Schizosaccharomyces pombe: one gene and its partners. Changing the gene in region 2 together with the main gene of any one other region gives a genetic interaction. Each region holds a gene or a part of one and is shown on either strand. Other genes may lie near its edges. The genes, in order: rqt2, gyp1, cdr2 and SPOM_SPBC17A3.06.

Evidence for each region.
Region 1: mutations in gyp1 (region 2) and rqt2 together harm fitness more than expected from each alone (negative genetic interaction), as found in Schizosaccharomyces pombe (one large-scale study listed by BioGRID).
Region 3: mutations in gyp1 (region 2) and cdr2 together harm fitness more than expected from each alone (negative genetic interaction), as found in Schizosaccharomyces pombe (one large-scale study listed by BioGRID).
Region 4: mutations in gyp1 (region 2) and SPOM_SPBC17A3.06 together harm fitness more than expected from each alone (negative genetic interaction), as found in Schizosaccharomyces pombe (one large-scale study listed by BioGRID).

The regions. Positions count from the first base shown.
Region 1 is NC_003423.3:3,743,981-3,751,891, reverse strand, and holds the start of rqt2 (ATP-dependent RNA helicase), read left to right. Parts: upstream 1-1,882; 5' UTR 1,883-2,016; coding exon 2,017-7,824; 3' UTR 7,825-7,911. Other genes in the region: protein smp2, read left to right, coding at 232-420; SNARE protein Ykt6, read right to left, coding at 1,082-1,571, 1,620-1,723.
Region 2 is NC_003423.3:782,598-787,645, reverse strand, and holds gyp1 (GTPase-activating protein Gyp1), read right to left. Parts: upstream 3,081-5,048; 5' UTR 2,534-3,080; coding exon 989-2,533; 3' UTR 501-988; downstream 1-500. UniProt on the Schizosaccharomyces pombe protein: Stimulates specifically the GTPase activity of ypt1. Functions on the Golgi as a negative regulator of ypt1.
Region 3 is NC_003424.3:1,363,026-1,368,488, forward strand, and holds cdr2 (serine/threonine protein kinase Cdr2), read left to right. Parts: upstream 1-1,770; 5' UTR 1,771-1,820; coding exon 1,821-4,148; 3' UTR 4,149-4,943; downstream 4,944-5,463. Other genes in the region: cyclin Pas1, read left to right, coding at 1-781; cyclophilin family peptidyl-prolyl cis-trans isomerase Cyp1, read left to right, coding at 5,186-5,215, 5,256-5,297, 5,363-5,416. UniProt on the Schizosaccharomyces pombe protein: Acts as a mitotic inducer. In G2 it negatively regulates wee1, a mitotic inhibitor. Also has a role in cytokinesis where it required for proper septum formation.
Region 4 is NC_003423.3:1,411,199-1,414,573, reverse strand, and holds SPOM_SPBC17A3.06 (phosphoprotein phosphatase), read right to left. Parts: upstream 1,710-3,375; 5' UTR 1,520-1,709; coding exon 527-1,519; downstream 1-526. Other genes in the region: mitochondrial glutathione reductase Pgr1, read right to left, coding at 27-78; SPOM_SPBC17A3.05C (J domain-containing protein), read left to right, coding at 1,883-1,911, 1,966-2,402, 2,467-3,212. UniProt on the Schizosaccharomyces pombe protein: May be directly involved in signal transduction and/or cell cycle regulation. It is necessary for maintaining growth rate or spore germination. Could show both activity toward tyrosine-protein phosphate as well as with serine-protein phosphate.

The DNA of each region.
Region 1 (7,911 bases), 3.0 Mb from region 2:
CGTTGATGCAAAGGACACCGCTCTTCAACCATGTATTTTGTATCGAGATAAATAATTGAATATGAAATTCTACCTATATGCTTAATAAAATCAAAAATTGCCTCGCATAAACAAAAAAAAACTCGGTGATTAAATACACCGAATCACTTGGTTAGCCGCAAGGCAATATGAAGTGGATTGTAATGTGTTTGTTTACTAATCCATTACACCAATTTTCTTGCACACATTCACATGCAGCACAATAAGGAAAATCATTTTGTAGAGGATGCAAAGCAATTCCAAGAAAAAGCAAAACTCTATCAAGGAAACTACTATACACTGGATGGAGAATTAATCACCATAATACCTAGCTCGAAGGAGGGCTTTCGATCATGCAAATCGCTTTATTATAAGAAGAAGCAACCTATACCGGGAAGGTAATAAAATATAGATGCAGCTGCATCTGCAGCATATTGATGGCGTGCTTGCACATACTCCTCAACCCTTCAAACTTTTACTTCAATAAACGAAGGGTACCAAACCACTACCTTTCTTGAACTATTTTATCAAAGAAATGCATAATAGCATTAACGAATAATGAAAATTACTACCAAACCATTTTGCTTGCCAACAACAATTGAGTTTGTGTAACTTGATATATACTAGAAGATAAATCTAAACTATAGAAAAATCTGTAACGAAAAAAGCCCGATAGTTTTCTCGCTCCAACAAACTCAATAATTTTACAATCTTTAAAAAAATCTCCTTTACAAGTTTATAAAGTGAACCATTCATGCTATGAGCATCAACGAAGAGTGTGTATGCTCATTGAAACATGCTAGACTTTTTCAACAAGTAATCTACTCTATAACATAAAAGCAATCCGGAATGCAAACAACGTGTCATGAAAAGATCAGATTAAAGATAATGATAGAAGAACAATTTCATGGACTCTAGGAACAGGCGCAGAAAAATTAACAAGGTTTTGATATTCAATCGATAATTGCAGCAAACAAAATGCAAGAATACCAACTTGAAAAAATATGATATAATTTGGGCATTGGGAAGAAAGGAAAACCAAACAAATGAATTTATAAAATAATTAAGCTATTATACAGCAAGAATTTTGCTTTTTAGCAGATTTATAAAACATTCGAGACTGTGTAGATAAGTTATCACTACGTTGGATCAAGTCGTCCAACTTCTCTCCTCTAGCTAAGACACTCTCGATTGTTTTATGAAGTACATCTTTAGTTTCATCCAATTCTTGTTGCACTCGCATAATCGTATCAGCCTGCTTGGGGTCTTGATATTTTGATAGATAGGTATCCAATTCTGGAAAGGATAGGGTAACAGCACCAGATTCCCATTTGGTGCGAGGATTTTTTGTCAAAAATTCGTCTAGAATCTTATTTAGAAGAGTATAAGCAACACGTAAAGGGTATTCCTTGTCACTAGCAATCACACCGCACAACCCATCCGATCGGTTGTACACATGAAAAACGTAATTGGACTGTTCAACGTCTTGTCTTTGCCCTGGATTAGTACGTTCTGCAACAGTCTTTGTAAAAAAATTCATGAACTCTCCGATGCTGAAATATTTGTTAACAAACTACTCTTCAATTAAATCTTGCACATACGATGATCGTTGAAAAAATGAGAAACTAGATAAGTCTGAGGCAGTGCATAATAATTGCACTGGTTTTGGGTCAAAGCGGAGTATAGAGACAGAATACAGCTTCATTCTGTAAATATGCTGTAAATCAAGTTAATGGTGTGGGTTAAGTTTGTTTCTGCTTTGGTTGAAAACGCCATACTTCTTGCAATCGTATGTACACACATAATACCTTCGACTACGGTATTTTTCTATTACACAAATAATAGGTAGTGGCCATTTGTTTACAAACCATCCCCTACACTACTAGCAGTGCTAAATTGGGTAGTATATTGGATACAATCCTATAAAAGCAATAAAAATTCAAATTTTTTCTGTTTAAGGAGGTTTTAATTTCAACGATCTATCCTTTTACAGTTTTCATGGAAGTTGAGTTAAATTATGTAGTGAATCACTTAGAAAAGCTAGGTCCTGCTAGTTTTTGTGATACTCCATATAGCTTTTCGCTGAGTGATTCGAATGCTGAGCTAGGTGCTTTATCGTTAAAAGTTGACGAAATTTTGAAAACAAATTATAATTTAATCAATCCCGAGGACGTTACTGACTCCGACAATAATGAATTTGCTCTTAAAGATTTAACTTGGCTGCAAAATTGCTGCAATGAAATTTCTCAATCTTCAAGTACTGAACTTGATGCTTCAGTACTATTTGAAGCAGTCATTATGAGCCTAAAAGCGACTGAAGATCAATGTGCCATTCAAGAAGATTTACTGAATCTTGTTGGACTTGATCATATTGACTTGATTTCAGATATCGTCGCTAATTCGTCCAATTTAATAGAAGAATACATGAATCAAAATGATACTTCAATTGCTGCGCAACTTTCTGATGGCTATACCTCTGAAGCTGGTTCTTCTGCTACGCATGGTCAGGGATTATTAGACAGTTTAAAAAGTAGGCCGAGAAGATTTAGTCGGTCTCGTGATAACAGAGGTCCTTTATTTACTGGACAGCAAGTTTTTGAAGTGGAAAAATATCCTCATGTGTATGGGGATAAAAGGCTTGGTAATACTATTAGCGTCATTGGGAAAAAGTTTGCATTACCGGCTGGTAGTGAAAGAGAAGATTACCAGAAATATGAAGAGATTATTGTTCCTCATGCTCAGCGTGCTCCACAAATGCAAGGGGAAAAGTTGTTAGAAATTTCTTCGATGGATATTCTTTGTCGAAAAACATTCCTTAGCTACCAAACTTTGAACAGAATCCAATCGCTTGTCTATCCTATCGCCTACAAGACAAACGAGAATATGTTAATTTGTGCACCTACAGGTGCAGGAAAAACTGATGTTGCTCTGCTCGCAATGTTGCAAACAATCTCCAACTATGTAGAAAGTATGAATCTTATGGATGAATCGGAACCTCTAGATGTTCATAGAGATGATTTTAAGATTGTCTACATTGCTCCTATGAAGGCATTGGCTGCTGAGGTTGTAGAGAAAATGGGAAAACGTCTCGCTTGGTTGGGATTGAAAACTAGAGAACTTACTGGTGATATGCAACTAACCAAAACGGAAATAGCAGAAACTCAGATACTTGTTACAACACCTGAAAAATGGGACGTAGTTACTAGAAAAAGCGTCGGCGACACTCAGTTAGCCGAGAAAGTACGTTTGGTTATCATTGATGAAGTACATATGCTTCATGATGAACGTGGTGCTGTTATTGAATCACTTGTCGCTAGGACACAAAGGCTGGTAGAAACAAGTCAACAGATGATTAGAATTGTTGGTCTTTCTGCCACACTTCCAAACTACCTTGATGTAGCTGATTTTTTAGGCGTCAATAGGTACAAGGGATTGTTTTATTTTTCATCTGCATTTCGTCCATGCCCTATTGAACAGCATTTCATCGGTGCTAAAGGTTCTCCTAAAATAGTAAACTCAAATATTGATGAAGCTTGTTTTGATAAAGTTTTGAAACTGATTCAGGAAGGCCATCAGGTAATGATATTTGTACATTCTAGGAAGGAAACCATTAATTCAGCTAAGAAGTTGAGGGAACAATTTTTCCATGAGGGAGAGGCTGATTTGTTGGACAACTCACAACATGAAAAATATAGTCTAGCTCAAAGAGATGTTTCAAAGTCAAAAAACAAAGAGTTAAAAGAACTTTTCAAATACAGTATGGGGATTCACAACGCTGGCATGTTACGATCGGACCGACATCTTACTGAACGTTTGTTTTCTATGGGTATTCTTAAAATTTTATGCTGTACTGCTACCCTAGCATGGGGTGTTAATTTACCGGCTTATGCTGTATTAATTAAAGGAACTCAGCTTTATGATCCACAAAAGGGTTCTTTTGTAGATCTTGGCGTGTTGGACGTTTTACAAATATTCGGTCGTGCTGGTCGTCCTCAGTTTGAAAGTTCGGCAGTCGCGTACATAATTACGACACATGATAAACTTTCTCATTACATCTCCGTTGTAACACAACAAAGCCCTATTGAATCTCGTTTCACCGATAGATTGGTTGACAACTTAAACGCTGAAGTTTCTTTAGGAACGGTAACTAATATTGACGAAGCTGTATCGTGGTTAGGTTATACTTATCTTTATATCAGGATGAGACGTAATCCACTTGTATACGGTATTGCTTATGACGAACTTGTTGAGGATCCTTTACTAGGCAGCAAGCGAAGAGAATTGGTATCTGTAGCGGCAGGAAGGCTGGCAGATAATCAAATGATCGTTTACAATAAGAAAAACGGATACCTGATTCCTAAAGATTTAGGTAGAATCGCGTCCAATTACTATATCAATTATCAAACTGTCTCAACATTAAATAATTTATTGAAAAGCAAAATGTCGGAAGCAGACATTATAGCTCTTTTGAGCCAATGCAGCGAGTTTTCCCAAATCAAATCGAGAGAAAATGAGCATCGTGAGCTTGAATCACTAATGGAAAACAGTAGTCCTTGTCAGTTGAGGGATAGTATTTCGAATACATCAGGAAAAGTTAACGTTATTCTGCAGTCATACATTTCTCGTGCGCATGTAGAAGATTTTACCCTAACATCAGATACAAATTATGTTGCACAAAACGCGGGTCGAATAACTAGGGCTCTTTTCGAAATTGCAATGTCAAGGACTTGGGCCTCGGCATTTACTATCCTTAGCTTAAACAAGTCAATTGATAGGAGGCAGTGGTCTTTTGAACACCCCTTACTTCAGTTTGATCTTCCACATGACCTTGCAGTCAAAGTGGAAAATCAGTGTGGGTCTTTATCATTAGAAGAATTGTCGGACATGTCTACAGGAGAACTTGGTGATCTTATTCATAACCGAAAAATGGGCCCTACAGTTAAAAAATTTATTTCCAAATTACCTCTTTTAAACATTAATGTTGATTTGCTACCTTTAACGAAAAACGTTTTGCGACTTGTATTAAATATCACTCCCAATTTTAATTGGGACATGAGATATCATGGAAACAGTCAAATGTTTTGGATATTTGTTGAAGATAGTAACGGTCTTGAGATTCTTCATCATGAACAGTTGCTCCTAAATAAACGGAACGTTAGCACTTCTCATTTACTATCCTTTACCATACCTGTGTCTAATCCATTACCCTCACAACTATACATTATTGCAGTATCAGATAAATGGCTAGGCGCTGAAACAGTTACCCCGGTTTCTCTTTCTAATGTTGTTTTTCATGACGATTCCAATCCCATTACAGAATTATTGGATCTTCAACCTTTACCAATTACGGCTTTGCACGATCCAGTGCTAGAAGGTATATGCGCTAAAAGATTCTCGTTTTTTAATGCAGTCCAAACTCAATTTTTTCACACTATTTATCACACCGATACAAATATTTTCGTTGGTGCACCTACTGGATCTGGTAAAACTATGGCCGCAGAATTAGCTACTTGGAGAGCTCTTCACAATTATCCTAAGTCGAAAGTAGTTTATATTGCTCCAATGAAAGCTTTAGTCAAGGAAAGAGTAAAGGACTGGGGACACAGGTTAGTTGAACCAATGGGGATTAGTATGATTGAATTAACTGGTGATACTAACCCGGATGTTAAGGCTGTTACGAATGCAAATATCATAATTACAACACCGGAAAAATGGGATGGTATTACTAGAAGTTGGAAATCTAGGAAGTATGTTCAGGATGTCTCATTAATTATCCTTGACGAAATCCATTTATTAGGTAGCGATCGAGGTCCTGTCCTTGAAATGATTGTCTCCCGAATGAATTATGTTGCTTCTCAAACTAATAAGAAAGTTAGAGTTCTTGGTTTATCTACTGCTGTTGCTAACGCTAACGATCTTGCAAATTGGCTTAACATAAGAGATGGTCTATTTAATTTTAGGCATTCCGTGCGCCCAGTTCCTTTAGAAATATATATCGATGGATTCCCTGGTAGAGCCTATTGCCCAAGGATGATGTCGATGAATAAGCCTGCTTTTCAAGCCATCAAAACGCACTCTCCTACCCAACCTGTTTTAATTTTTGTTTCGTCGCGCCGTCAAACTAGATTAACTGCAAAAGATTTGATAGCTTTTTGTGGTTTAGAAGACAATCCTAGGAGATTTTTGTACATGGATGAAGAAGAATTAGAAATGATTGTTTCAGAAGTTGAAGATAAAAGCCTCAAGTTGGCTTTACCATTTGGTATAGCACTTCACCATGCTGGTTTGACTGAAAATGATAGAAAAATTTCCGAAGAGCTTTTTGTAAATAATAAAGTTCAGATTCTCATCGCCACCAGCACTCTTGCATGGGGTGTAAATACGCCGGCACATTTGGTAATTGTGAAAGGAACAGAGTATTACGATGCTAAAATTGGAGGCTATAAAGACATGGATTTGACGGATGTGCTTCAAATGTTAGGGCGTGCAGGACGACCACAATTTGACAATTCTGGTGTGGCACGTATATTTGTACAGGATATTAAGAAGTCGTTTTATAAGCACTTTCTACATAGTGGATTTCCAGTAGAGTCTTATTTACATAAAGTATTGGATAACCATTTAAATGCCGAGATTGCTACGGGCACTATAGATTGCATACAGGGTGCAATGGATTTTTTAACGTGCACTTACTTCTATCGAAGAGTTCATCAAAATCCCGTTTATTACGGTGCTGATGGAGATGACCAAAAGAGTATAGATACTTATTTATCGAAACTTGTTGTGACTGCATTTAATGAACTTGAAAAGTCAGCTTGCATATATCGTGTCAACGAAGAAACCTATGCACCTACAACTTTGGGTCGTATAGTTAGTTACTATTATCTTTTTCATACCACCATCAGAAACTTCGTTCAAAAAATAACTGAGAACGCTGAGTTCGATCTTGCGTTGCAATTGCTTGCTGAAGCATCTGAGTTTGACGATCTCGCTATTCGTCACAACGAAGATTTGATAAACATAGAGATTAATAAATCTCTGAAATATTCGGCTGCTTGCCTAAACCTTCCTATGGTCGATGCTCATGTTAAGGCATTTATATTAACTCAAGCTCACATGGCAAGATTGAAACTTCCAGTGGATGATTATGTTACTGATACTAGCACGGTTTTAGATCAGGTTATTCGTATTATACAGTCTTATATTGATGTGTCCGCTGAGCTAGGCTACTCCCATGTCTGTTTACAGTACATATCTCTAATGCAGTGTCTTAAACAGGCTTGCTATCCGAGTGAGATTTACAGAGCTTCATTACCTGGACTTAATGCGTCTAGTGAAAAGGAAGCAAGAGATTATCTCAACAAATTTGCAGGAAATAAAACTGATGAGTTATATCAAATGCTATGTAATGACCCTAACGTTTTTGATATAGAAAGTCTGGTCAATAGTTTAATTTCGTATCCTAAAATGAACATTGAAGTTTCTCAATCGTCTTCAGATAAGCTACTCCTTTATCTACGACGCCTCAATCAGCCGCTCAACCCCGATTTTTACATTTTTGCGCCGTTGTTCCCTAAACCTCAAAGTGAGGGATTTTTCGTTCTCATCATAGATTCAGAAACTCAAGAACTGTTCGCGATACGTCGGGCCTCATTTGCTGGGCGAAGAAACGATGATTCAATTCGTTTATCCCTTCGGATTTCAATGGATATTCCACCAACTTGCCGCAACAGAAATGTAAAAGTCATGGTTGTTTGTGATGGATACCCATTAATTTACGAACATAAAATTGTATTGATGATTTAATGAAGCTTTTGTAGAAAAATAGAAGGCTTTAAGCCAATTTCCTTATTATATTTAAGTCTGTTTAATAAAAATTAATTAACAAATCTA
Region 2 (5,048 bases):
CCAGACGTAGAGGTAATAGGCAAAGTCTCCCTTATATAGTAAATATAGTTTGAAAAACAGTCACTGCAAATGCTGTTGTGGTAAGCAGTTGCAAAATCAGCATGAAAAAGCTATGAGTATTGAAATTTAAAAGATAAGAAATTGATCCTATAGTTATAAATAAATGATTTCTTCTTCATGAAAAGTAATACAATGATTCTATAACGCAATGGAACGTGCTTCTTTATTTCAGTTCAAAAACTGTATTAAGTTGTATAAATATTCAAAAATTGTCACAGCGTTTTCATTATCTACTCTAATTCATCCATACATTTTGGTCGAATCAAGGAAGAAGACACAGACCATGTAGTACAGTCTTGTCGATTTTCATCATCTCTTACCAATACAAAAGTCGTACTTTGAAATCGTAATGTACAATCTTGGATAAAACCAAAGAAAACATGACTAGCATAGAAGAGAAAAAAAAATGATATTAATAACGATTCATGTAAAGTATCACGCCATGGACTAAACAATCGTTGAATAGTAAAGTAGTAACGTAAGTCAAACTGGAAAAGGGTTAGAGAACGGTCGAACGTAAGAGTAAAGACAAATTACATATAAGTAATAGTGAATATACAATTTAATTCAAGGGTTAATAACTTCCCAAAAATGATTAAGGTAGTTCAGACTTTCTTCAAGAGAAATACTTTATCCTGCATGATAAATTCTAAAAGTCGCAAACTCAATCCAGCTGAGTTAAGGAGCAAACTTGAAAAGTTATTTAGGTGAATGAAAGGAAAATTTATTAGAAGAAGTAAGACTTAGACTCATAAGCTCATAAACATAGAAAAGCAACACAATGAATTAACGAAGGAGATTTGTCAACCTAATTATAAAAATGCATAGGAAGGATGGCATTTGAAAAAGGCTGCTATGCCAAAATAAGCAAGGGATTAAGGAAGAAGACGAATGCTCTGAAAAGGGAAAACGAAATGGCTACTATGCCTTACCTTTTCAAATGTGCACCAGCTCCACTGTACAATGATTTCCATAGGAAAGCTTCAGATAGTAAAATTTCGATATCCTTTGTGCTCCAATCTTTTGTCGGAATAGACTGCAGAAAAATTAATATATCCTGAAATTCCATCTTTTGTAATTCACTCGACCATTTCACTAAAAATGCAGCACATACGTAGAGGTGAAACTCAGAAAATCCTTGGACACCTTCCGCCATGTATGTATCCCACATCCGAATGATATTCGAAATACTAAGCTCGCGCATTAAAAGACAGTTCATCCAGCGAAAACTAAACTGAAGGAAATCAACACCCTCCATTTGAAGATGTTTTACTAATGGCTCATCTATACGTAAAGTAAGCTCTCGCAGATTATTCACCTGTCGACGGATTCCAGGCTGTGCATGTATATAGTTATCTTGGATACCATCTAACAATTTAGAAAGACACCAGTAAGCATCAGCCTCAATATCATTACGATTAGTTTCATCAAGAAGAGCAATGTCATATGTCATTGGGTCCTTATCGCCGATATATTCGGACAAAAACACCTGAATAAAAGGAGTAACTAAATCGCTGATGCCTTGTACATATCCGCTGGCTGGGTGCCGTGAGGCCCAAACATATAAAATACGCTCAAGCATACGCTGCGTCAATGGGTTTTGGTAAAGAAGAATAGAGGGGTTCGTCCTCGGAACGTCAAGGACAATTTGTCGCCAAATAGTTTGATCCAAAGGTGGTGGCTCTGTATTTGTATTAAAGCAGGAATCTTTTGCTGCGTTATATTCGTCTCTCTTTCGCTTTAAAGTGACTTCACGACGAGAAGCATTACAAGGTAAATATCCTAACAAGTATTTCCAGACAATAGGTCTATGTTCGGAGGGAATTCCATTCCAAGCCAATGTACGAAGCGCATTTAAATCCACAATTGGAGCATCAAGAATTCGCGAAAACTTCTTGATCCGAGAGACAAGCGCATTGCTTTCAGCAACCTCAACTTCTACAGAACGATGGGCTAGTTTAGCGGGTAAAGGAAAACGACCAGACGAATGAAGCTTTTGTCTAGAAGTGGTAGTATCCACGCCATTTTGAGGAAATAAGGAGCGGCTTGAAGAATTTGGAGTAGTACTTCGAGCCATACGAGGAAGAGATTTTGAGGCTTTAATATTCGAAACTCCCCAATCGTCATCTGTCTGTGACAAATATTTGGCAAACTTTGCAGACACTTTTTTGCCTACAACAGCTTCCAAGGAAAGAGAAGATCTCGCAGAAGGTGCATAGATTTTAGACTCACTAGCAGATTCGGGTCTAGTTATGGACCGGGCCAAAGAGATATGATCTTTTGGGGGTTGATCTGAGTAAACAGAGTCGTCCAATCTGAACGGTTGAGCTTTGGAAGAAGTGCTTCGACCACGATGGTGATGGGTCCGGCTTCGATCCAAAACAGTAACTGGATCCGAAGTGGCGCTAGAGGATCCATTCCATAAGCTGGAGAGAGTTTTTAAGGCGGACGACTTTTTTGACTGAGATTCCATAGTGGAAAATCTTAAAATACGAGAAGAAAAATTGTTTTTACAAAATGAAGCAGTAATTTGATAGCCTTGATGGACACAACAAATTTAGCAAATAACAGATACTCTTTGAATTTATCGCCAAAATAAAATACTTTTGGTTAAGATGCAAAAAACAGTTTCAAAATTTGCTGTAAAAAGTAGATGAAACGTTTTAGAAGGCAATAACTTCAAATGTTTAACGACGAAGGATCTTAGGCACCACTCATAGACTTACCGGACTTGAAGTCTTATTCTTTTCTTATCAAATGAAAACTATTTTCAAAAAAAAAAAACTTAAGCTATTAGAAGCAAAGCCGTGTCTGTGGGTTCCATCCAAACGAAAACGCACCAGCTCGAGATCTTGTGATCTATTAGAACAGCGCGGAATTTGAACACGAACAAATGTTTCGAGAAAACCTTAGATACAATCCAATACACTAGTATATTTACAAATTTTAACCGAATATCAACGAAATTGTGAAGATTTACTCGGTCTGTGCAGTTGCCAAGGCAGTTGCCCTTATTTGGTGGAAGAACAAAACAATAGGGAGGAAAACAGTAGGTGTATGGAGTTTCTTATATATGAGGTTTTTTTAATAAAAGGAGCAAGGTTTAATACTTTAATTATTTATCTCACTTTTTAGTTAAAGGAAATTCGTTTTAAGCCATGAACAGTTGATAGAAGGATTTTGGCCGTGCATGGTCTTATTGCTTGGGAATGTTGGGTTTATATGCGCAGAGTAGTAAAAGATACACAGCTAGGTCTCATTTAACAATGTTTATATCTATGAGTTCTATCTCTTCTTTACTTAAGTTGCTGCCAGTAAAAGTGAACAATGTAATTTTGACAATTGTGACTAGTCGCTTTTCAAAACAAAAAAGAGAAAAGTATAAACGTTGATTAAGAAACGTAAAAAAGTATTTCCTGTCAATAATGAATCTCTGATTTTATTGTTATTTTTCGTATTGACATCCTAGTTACCTAATATAATACGATGAATTATAAGCATTTTAATACCTACTAAGTTTAAATTTTCCTGAAATACAGTCTAAGATTTTCCTGTTCCTATATATTTCTAACAAAACACATTTTTCAAGTAGATGATCAACGAATCTAGTCTAACTTTCAATCCCAGTCTTTTTTTTAGCAGTTTCGGGTATTTGTTTTCAAACATGTATTTATATCTTTGATTCAGTAAAATTACTTCAACAAATGCATTGAAGAGGAATGATTTAAAAAACATATACGGTTTTCAATGTTTTAATGAACAGAGCAATTTTCCAAATGTTGTCTTGTCAAGAAATTGTAATGTATGTTCTCCAAAACTGACATGAGAACAAAATAAATATGTACTAAGATAAATTTTATATTGAGAACAATCAAAAATTATAGTAAGTTTAATAATCATCCAAAAAACACTTTCCTTCTCTCGTTTACATCTTGGAAAACACTCTAGAGTATCGTTATTCATTGTGATGAAATCGAAACTACAACTCCAATCCAATAATAAAGGTTACTGTATGACAATAAAATAAACCATACATCTTCCCTTTAAGTCGTATTACGACTTGTAAGAAGATTTCCTGGTTGCCAAAATATCATTCATAGTACACAATAATATTATGTGCAAAGGTATTGAAATGAATAAGTACGAATCAAGGTAAATGATTATTATTCCCAAATGAGCTCAAACAAAAAGCAAAAAGAATAAAAGGAAGCCTACAGCACCCCGGATTCCCATGTTGTCTCCAACCATAGTACTAACGAGGCCCTCAGACGCTTAACTGCAGTGATCGGACGGGAACTGGTGTTTTCGCCTAGGTATGGCCGTAGACGTTTAAAGTAGAATATTTAAACATTTTAAAGAAAAAATTAATAATCAGTCAGAGTACTGTCGATTCACTAGAAATTTTCTATTTATTGTTTATATATTCATACAGTAAGATCGTGAAGTATTCAAATCCTTGGTATATAGAATATTATCTTCATGCATTCAAAGATCGTTTAGGAGCTATTTGTACAAGCTACTTGGTGCATATTTGTCTGTTTATATTGCAAAGTCAAGAATTTTAACATAGAGAAAGAATAAAATGAAATGGAATAAAGAAATGTTAAATAATGTTATGAATCAGACTTGTTCTTGAATTGCTAGTCATAACAACTTCTATAAGACTCAACACGTTTACGCGCTTTTTATGAATGTAATACGTTAGACAAATTAAATAGACAAGTACAGTCTATGTGTCATTGACTCAACACTTAAGCATTTATATGATCTACAAAGATGAAGTCTATAACATGATCTATCACGTATTATGAATGCTTAGCCATGGCTGCTTTAAGAAGATCATCTTTTAATCCATAAAACAACATTGTTTTGGCACGAAGCGAATGATCCGTTTTGCTTCGCTTTGCTGGAATAAAAATGAAGCTGTCAGAACGAATCCTATACATCGTTAAAATAGAGTTATTAACAAAGGAAAACAAATAAGTTCA
Region 3 (5,463 bases), on a different chromosome or scaffold from region 2:
TGCTCACGCGACTGCACGTTATGATTCCACCGATCCTAATGTTGCCTCATTTGGCAGCGTCGCACAATATTGGGTCTCTTTGTTTTCTAATGTTCAATCTTCTCTAGATGATCTTTTTTCCATTGCCTGTTTAACGAAGATAGCACATCGCAGAATGAATGCTAATGCTGCTTTGAAGAATCAGGCTACGAGGAAGCCCTCCTCTTCTCCTCAAACAACTCAAGACTCATCACCTATTCTTACGATGGCACCTTCTACTCCAGTATCTGTTGGCAGTACCCCTCCATCCACTCCATCTGTTTTACCCATTGCCAAACAACTGGCTCCTATGAATGTCTGTAAAGCACATATTCAGGCTTCAAATCAGTCCCGCACTTTGACTACTGCTTCGCCACCCGAACAAATACCGCTTATGGAACCGCAAGTTTATGTAAATCCTCAAGTATTACCGGGTCGGTTGTCAAGCCTTTCTAAGCCAGTTAGTCTACCACCAACTCCTTCTTCACCAAAGGTTGGAGTATATCGGCCAATGACTTCTAAGTCCAATGGAGGTGTTGCTTACTGCTATAATGCTCAAAAATTGAACAATGCTACTGGTCCAGTTACATTTAATATGCCTTTTGCAAGCGTCTTACCACTTGCCGTATCTGTGAGTTGTGATCTGGGTACAGCGTCTGCATATGTCGCGTCCCTCCCTCAACCTTGTTCTCAAAAAAGGCATTTAGAAGAAGACTACTCATGTTTAACGGAACACAGTGCTAAGCGTCGCAGTTACTTTTAATTATCAAGCCCAATCTGCGCTGTCTTCGCCGCTTCTTTCAAAAACTATAATATTTAATGAATAATTTCATAATACTGATGCCATTTTAACAGCGGATGTCAATAAATACCGATAATGTTTTCTTTCTATTGATTTATCTATTCAAATTGTGTGGAAGATAATCATGATATGGGAAACTTGATTAGGTTTATATTACTACCTTCTTTTCATATCTAGACTTGTCAATGTTTTGATTAAAAATCAAATATTGTTGTCGTTTCTATGAATCTTTTTTTAACATTCTAATAGCAAAACGATGTATATATGGTATGAATGAATTAACGATTGGCAACTATATTTACTTATGCATCTTGTAAATTGATATCAGTAGAGCAAGGTATTCAAAAAAGATAATTTTGTTGATTTCTTATGGCCATAAACTTGTCAAATAGTCAAACTATTTAGAGATTATGTATGTGCTCATTAAGATAGTTATATATTTTAGGCAGGTGAATGTAGCCATTTGAAATCTACTACTGAGCTCCAATCCTATTTGAAGGCTCTAAGAGTCCTTTCAATCATTTTTTAACAGAGTTGTCTAAGTAATATTTTTTCAACGATTAAACTGTGAAACATTGAACTAAAATATCTTGATCATTTACAAAAGCAGTAATTGCTACACCGTACTACTAGTAGAGCCAATTTTGATTACGGTCTTTAAAACAATGTTGAATACACTAATTGTAAGCGATTTTTGTAAAAACTAATAATTATACGTATCTTCTTGAACATCACGAAAATTAACTGATATTTCCCTAAAGTACAGTTGCAAGTAGGAAGGATTAAGACAAAACAACAAATTATATACTAAAAATTTTACAAATGTTAAAATCAATTTCACATATATATTTTGTTGTAATTAAATGCACTCAAATACTATAGCTTACAAGTTTAGGGAGCATTACGGAGAACATCCCACATATGCTGTTCTATGAATGGGGTTTGGATTTGGCCATCACCACTTCACCGATTTACTGGTTCTTTTGAATAGTTGAAGTGTATGAGTACAATTTCAGAAGTTGGACCTTGGGAGCTTGGTCTTTCCTTAGGATCAGGAGGACCAAATTCATCACGTTTAGCCAAACATCGTGAAACTGGGCAATTAGCCGTAGTAAAACCGATTGTAGGATGGTCCGAGCTTACTTCGAGCCAACAGGCTAGGATAGAGGGTGAATTAGTTTTGCTTCGATTGATCGAGCATCCTAATGTTTTGCAGCTCATAGATGTGATTTCAGCCCAGGAGCAACTCTTTGTCGTAGTCGAATATATGCCAGGTGGTGAGCTTTTTGACTGCATGCTTCGTAAAGGAAGTTTTACTGAGCAAGATACGGCAAAGTTTCTATGGCAGATTTTGTGTGGATTGGAGTATTGTCATAAACTTCATATCTGCCACCGGGATTTAAAGCCAGAGAACTTATACTTGGATGCCCATGGTTCTATCAAAATCGGTGAATTCGGTATGGCGTCTATTCAACAGCCAGGAAAGCTTTTGCAGACTTCCTGCGGGTCTCCCCATTACGCATCCCCAGAAATTATTATGGGGCGTTCATATGATGGTTGTGCTAGCGATATTTGGTCATGTGGAATTATATTTTTTGCTTTGTTAACAGGGAAATTACCGTTTGATGATGACAACATTCGTTCTTTGTTGCTAAAAGTCTGTCAGGGTCAATTTGAAATGCCATCAAATATCTCTCCTCAAGCCCAACATCTGTTGTACCGCATGCTTGATGTTGATTCATCTACTCGAATTACCATGGAACAAATTCGTGAACACCCGTTTCTTAGTTGCTTTGTTCATCCCAATATTTCTATTCCAATCATATCAGCCCCTATACAACCCATTGATCCATTAATAGTGCAGCATCTCTCTTTAGTTTTCAGATGTTCCGATGATCCTATGCCCTTGTATGAAAAATTGGCATCTCAATCACCCTTGGTTGAAAAAACTCTATATACTCTACTGAGCAGACACTTGCATCCGCCTTCCAGCGCTGCAGTTGATCGCAACCGCGCTGTGGTCGATGATCTCCTTGGTACAGCAGCATCCAACGGGCAGCAAATGGACGAGGAAGAAATTGAACAAGCTATCAATATTCCTACTTTAGCGCCTTATCCAATTTCTTATGCTGCAGAGTCTGTTCCTCGACCTGCTACTTCTGCATCGCCATTTCTTACACCTGTTACCACTTCTGGCACTTTTAATTACTCTTTTAATGCTACCAACCCCCAATCCATACTTCAACGACCAGCCACTACATCTTCTGCTGTTCCTCAACTCCCAAAATCAGTTACCCCAGGACTTGCATATCCCCACGATAGTTCAATGCTGTCATCAAATTACCGACCTCCTTCTGCATTATCTCCTCGCAACTTTAACGTTTCTATAAACGATCCGGAAGTTCAACTAAGTCGTCGCGCTACTTCACTGGATATGTCAAATGATTTTCGTATGAATGAGAATGACCCTAGTATTGTTGGTAATTTAGCAGCTTCCAATTTCCCGACAGGTATGGGACCTCCAAGAAAGCGTGTCACTTCTAGAATGTCCGAACACACTGGTAATCGAGTCGTAAGCTTCCCGCGCGGCAGTGCTTTTAATCCAAGAGTTACTCGCTTCAACGTAGGAAATGAACAATTCTCTAATAATATTGATAATAATAACTATAATCAACCATACGCAAATGCAACCATGAACAACTCTCGTCGTCTTCGTACCCCTAGTGGGGAGAGATCAATGCGTGCTGATCTCTCTCAATCACCAGCCTCTTATGATTCGTTGAATGTTCCCAAACATAGAAGAAGACAATCGTTATTCTCTCCTTCTTCTACAAAGAAAAAGCTTTCCGGCTCACCTTTTCAACCAAAACGATCATTTTTAAGGAGATTATTTAGTAGTGAGCCTTCTTGTAAATGCGTCTATGCCAGCTTGGTTGCTTCAGAATTGGAACATGAAATTTTAGAAGTTCTTAGAAGATGGCAGCTTCTTGGTATCGGCATTGCTGATATTATATATGATTCTGTGAGTGCTTCGATATCTGCTCGTATTAAACGACAAAATTCACTTAATCTTAAACCGGTTCGGTTTAGAATATCGGTACTGGCTGAGTTTTTTGGTTCACAAGCTGTCTTTGTGTTGGAAAGCGGTTCTTCTACAACTTTTGACCATTTGGCTACAGAATTCCAGCTGATTTTTGAAGATAAGGGGTTTTTGGATAATTTGGAACTCTCTTATTTTCAAGCTTCGGCATCCAGACCTGTTTCTCGAATGAGTGTAAGTAGTAGTCCTTTTGCTGTATTTCGTCAACGACAATCCGTCCAAAGTTAAATTCTTTTATTATTATTATTATCATTTTTTTTTGATTCTCCAAAACCTTTGCAAACTTCATTTTTCTCGTGATGCTTTGGAAAAAAAAGGATTATCAAAAAAGCTAATCGTTTGATAATTGAACATAATGTATACTCGTGGAAGTATTGGAACTTTTTGAATTAAGCTTTCATTTTGTCCCATATTGGAACTCTTTTTATACACCAACAATATCTTTATAGACCTCCATTCTTTTTCTGATGTTTTTCTTTTACTTGTTCAACTTGCTATATGGAACCACGGTTATCCGGGAAGCAATAAATGCATTTAATGATTAAATTATATTTTGCTGCTCTGCTACAATGTTTCTCTTGGAACCTGTTGAGTTTTGTACATGTGATGTTGTACTTGGAACTTACTCCAATGATAATAACTTGCATGTCTGAAGCAAGGTAATTTTTGTATTTAGTATGACCGGCTATTGCTGGCATCTTTTTTGAAATACATTTTTCTTATTTAATTTAGGTATAAAATTTTTTATCTTAATCAATCTTTTCTTTTGGCTTTCTAACTCTTCGTTCTAAATCACAATCTTTTTAGTCTCGTTTATTTCAATCGATTTGACTTTTTCTTCATCTTATTTATCACAATCAACTAGCACTAGCGGATACAATTTCAATGAACTGCAGCATAGGTCGTATTATGTTTAGAAATTTATGACCCTTCTGCTTGTTCTGTATAAATTAAATTTATTCCAATTAAGTATTTGGTCGCTCAATGCTAATTAGTATGATATTAAATTTGAGTGGAATTCAATATGTAACCTGCTTACTTCGATAGTTGAAGAAATACATTTGAAGTTGTAGGATATCTAGGTTATCTGCATTGTACAAAGAGTCTGTTTTTTTGGAATGAAGTACGTGACATATTATTAAGCACTTTTAAAATTGTCTGTGCAATTGCCTTTTCAGTATTTTTAGCGAGGTTGCAACTTCAACTTATTACTTGAACAAGCAGCGAAAAACTGCAAGAAAATCGTGTAAAAACTAGTAAATACCATGGCTAATGTAGAGTTACAAACAAGTTTGGTAAGATCTTTTCCAAGCTCAAGCATTTAACATTTTTTAGGGAAAAATTCTTATTGAATTGTATACAGAACATGCTCCTAAAGTACGCATCAAGAATAAAGGACGAACAGTGTTGTTTGCTTTGAAAGTAGAATCGCTAACTTATAGACATGTCAAAATTTCTATACTTTAGCAAAAGAAGGATACTATGATGGTGTTATTGTAAGTTTTTTTCGCACTGTTTGCATCGTGCAAATAAGCATGTTGAA
Region 4 (3,375 bases), 630 kb from region 2:
TCCCGAAAGTATCGAATTGTACTTACCACTTCCACCACCAATTACCAGGTAATCAAAGACCTTTGAAATAGGTGCCATTCTAGTTTTAATACTTCGTGTATATAGGTAATGAAGAAGTTGAATACTGTTATAAACCAACGGAAGGTAAGGGTAAGACGTCTTTACCATGAATTCGTTATGATAATATTAGGAAATTTTATGGCAATATTAGTCATCTTCAAAAGTAAGCAATACCTCCATAAAGTGATAATTAGATTAGAAGAATTCCTTAGACTTTGCCATTGAACAGATGGAAATACTTTTCTCAGGCCAATGATAGTATAGAGTTTTTATTAAAAAATAAGTATTCAGAACTGGTTAGTACTTTAATTACAAGATCTCATCGACAACTCTGGAAAAGCAACCAATGTTTTAAGATAAACCATTTTTTTGTAATAAACATAGATGATTTGAAAACCTAGAGCGATCTTCCTAATATACATTAACTTTGAAGCAAGTGGATGATTCACACACGCAGAAAAAAAAATCAACCGAGTTTCCTAACAGCGTCTACACGCGACTGTAAAATACTTAAAGCTGGACAAACCCATTGAAGACAACTGCATTGTAAACCTTGCCATTTATAAGAACCAATTTTAGAATTGCATTTTGGACAATCAAATCGACCTTCCAAATTTCCCAACTCCAATTCTGGCTGCATCCAGCGAATAGGTTCCAAAAAGTAATGAGTACATCTTGTATGAGAATAATTATTTTCATCTTTCGGTTCATGCGATACCAGATAATCAGAGCTGGCAAGGACAAACCGACATTTTTTACAGCGAAGCTCTAATTGTCCTGCACGGGCACGGACAGTCTCAGCGTAAGCGACTTCAGATGGTACCCTAGTATTCAACACCGCGAAATCACCATATCTTCTGAACAGCCATTGGCGGTATGGGCGCAAACTTCGATCAAGTTGGTAATTACACTCAAAGTATACGCGAAGTTGACGAAGAAAATTAGCATTAGGAGATATTCCAGAGCGCCTTTCATTAATATGGGAGAGTGCTTCCTCAGTATTCCAATTGTTTTCCTTCATCAAGTATGCAGCCACTAAGGTTACGGACCTTGATATGCCCGCAAAGCAGTGAACCAAAACTTTGGCATTTTTAGATAGTGCAAAAGCGATGAATTTATTTGACTTTTCGAAGTATTGCAGAATATTTTGAGAACTAGAGTCTTCAATTTGCAACCAAAGGTGTTGTTGTTCAGGAACCGACAAATTGGGATTAATACTCATAGCGCTTAATGTATAATCGATCCCTTTGTCTGAAGTAGACACTAGCTCTGACGCCGTTTTCCAACTACTAATATACAAATTTTTTGATATTTCCGACAAGTCATTGAGGCTGTCAGGATAATGCACCTCGTCTATAGCTTTCTGTACATCGTTGCTAGACTGTAAAAACCCTTCTGCTTCTTGAACGGATGAGTGAATTTCATCAAACTGAGGTTGCCATGCACTTTTGTTGCTCATTCTATTATTAAGTTTCTGATTTACCACTTTGAAACCGAAAGAAACATAAAAACATGAAAAACACTTAACTTTTCCAATTACTCTAATTATTTCGCTTGGCAAACAACCAAAACCAAAAAATGCTCTTTTTGAATTATTTTAAATATATCAATTAGTTTTCCCTTTTATTCCTGTTTTTGGTGTTTGGATTGATTCAAAAGTGCATGTTACTTAAGCCACTTGACCTTCGATATGTTACTTGGTTTAAAGGGTTTCTGGTAGCATCGATCCATCCAAGTACAAAGTTGGCAGAGATTGAAGGCACTTGAAACTTTGGTTCTCTCATCAAACTTGGACTTAATTTCCTTCTTTCATATCACCAAAATGGAATCTAGTAGAGAAGAAGCCCTTAGGTACGAATAATGAGGATTGCGTGAGATTTTATTACTAACACATGTTACGTGTAGATGCATTGGACTTGCAAGAAAGTATTTAAATGCCGGAGAATATGATAAGGCTTTAAAATTTGCTAATAAATCTTTGCGAATTCATGCTACCACTGAGGGCGAAGATTTTGTGAAACAAATAGAAAAGCAAAAGCTTACAGGTTCTCCAAATCCTCAGGCAACTCCTAAGCAAGAAAACAAGAGTAACTTTTTTTCTGAAAAACAGTCGGTGCGGGAAAATGGGAATAGCTCTGCTGGTGAAAAGAAACAGAAGTGGACAAGCGAACAACATTTGTTGGTCCAGAAAATCATAAAGTACAAAAATCACCAGTACTATGAAATATTGGATTTAAAGAAAACCTGCACTGATACAGAAATCAAAAAGTCTTATAAAAAATTAGCATTACAGCTCCATCCAGACAAAAATCACGCACCTAGTGCTGACGAAGCATTTAAAAGTACGTCTTCATTTTTTAGCTAATAATTTTTAAGGTTTTTTTTTGTATCCTAACTTTTTTATAGTGGTTTCAAAAGCCTTTCAGGTTTTATCAGACCCTAATCTACGAGCACACTACGACCGTACAGGAATGGATCCTGAATCTCGCGCCTCTGCTGCGAGCAGCTCTTTTAGTAGTAACGCAGGAGGCCATCCTGGATTTTCTGCTTATCCTCAAGCGAATATGTCTCCCGAAGATTTGTTCAATTCTTTCTTTGGTGACCAGTTCTTTTCAGGTCCAGGAACATTTTTCTTCGGTGGTGGACCTGGCATTCGAGTTCATCAGTTTGGCGGCCGTCCAAGGAATTTTGCACGTCGTCAGCAGGCCCAGGACATGCCCCCAAAGAGCATATTTTATCAGTTGCTACCTTTGATAGTGGTAATCCTTTTTGCCTTTTTGTCCAACTTTAGTTGGTCAGATAGTACGTCGGTTAATACGCGCTATTCATTTCAACAAAACTATAAATACACTGTTCCTCGTACTACTGCCAAGCATAACATTCCATACTATATGAGCCAAAAGGATTTGGATAAGCTAAGTTCAAGAGATATAAGAAGACTCAACGAAAAAGTCGAGCATACGTATACTCAAAACGTCCATAATGCTTGTTTGCGCGAGCAACAAATTAAAGAAGACGAAATTCGAAGAGCTCAAGGATGGTTCTTTCCTGATAAAGAGGCACTGAAGAAGGCTAAAGAATTGCGTTTACCTAATTGCGAAGAATTAAACCGCCTTGGCTATCGAACTTATTCAAACAGTTATTATTTTTAAGCAATAGTCTTTGAGACATACTTCCTTGTCCTTTGTTTTGTTTCATTTTCTTTAATTCACATCTATACCTATTCTCGTGTTGTTTACTTTCATAAAAATTTTAATTGGGTTTTTGGAACAAAACTAATATTCTTTACGCGTATCTTAAAGCCTGCCTCTTCGG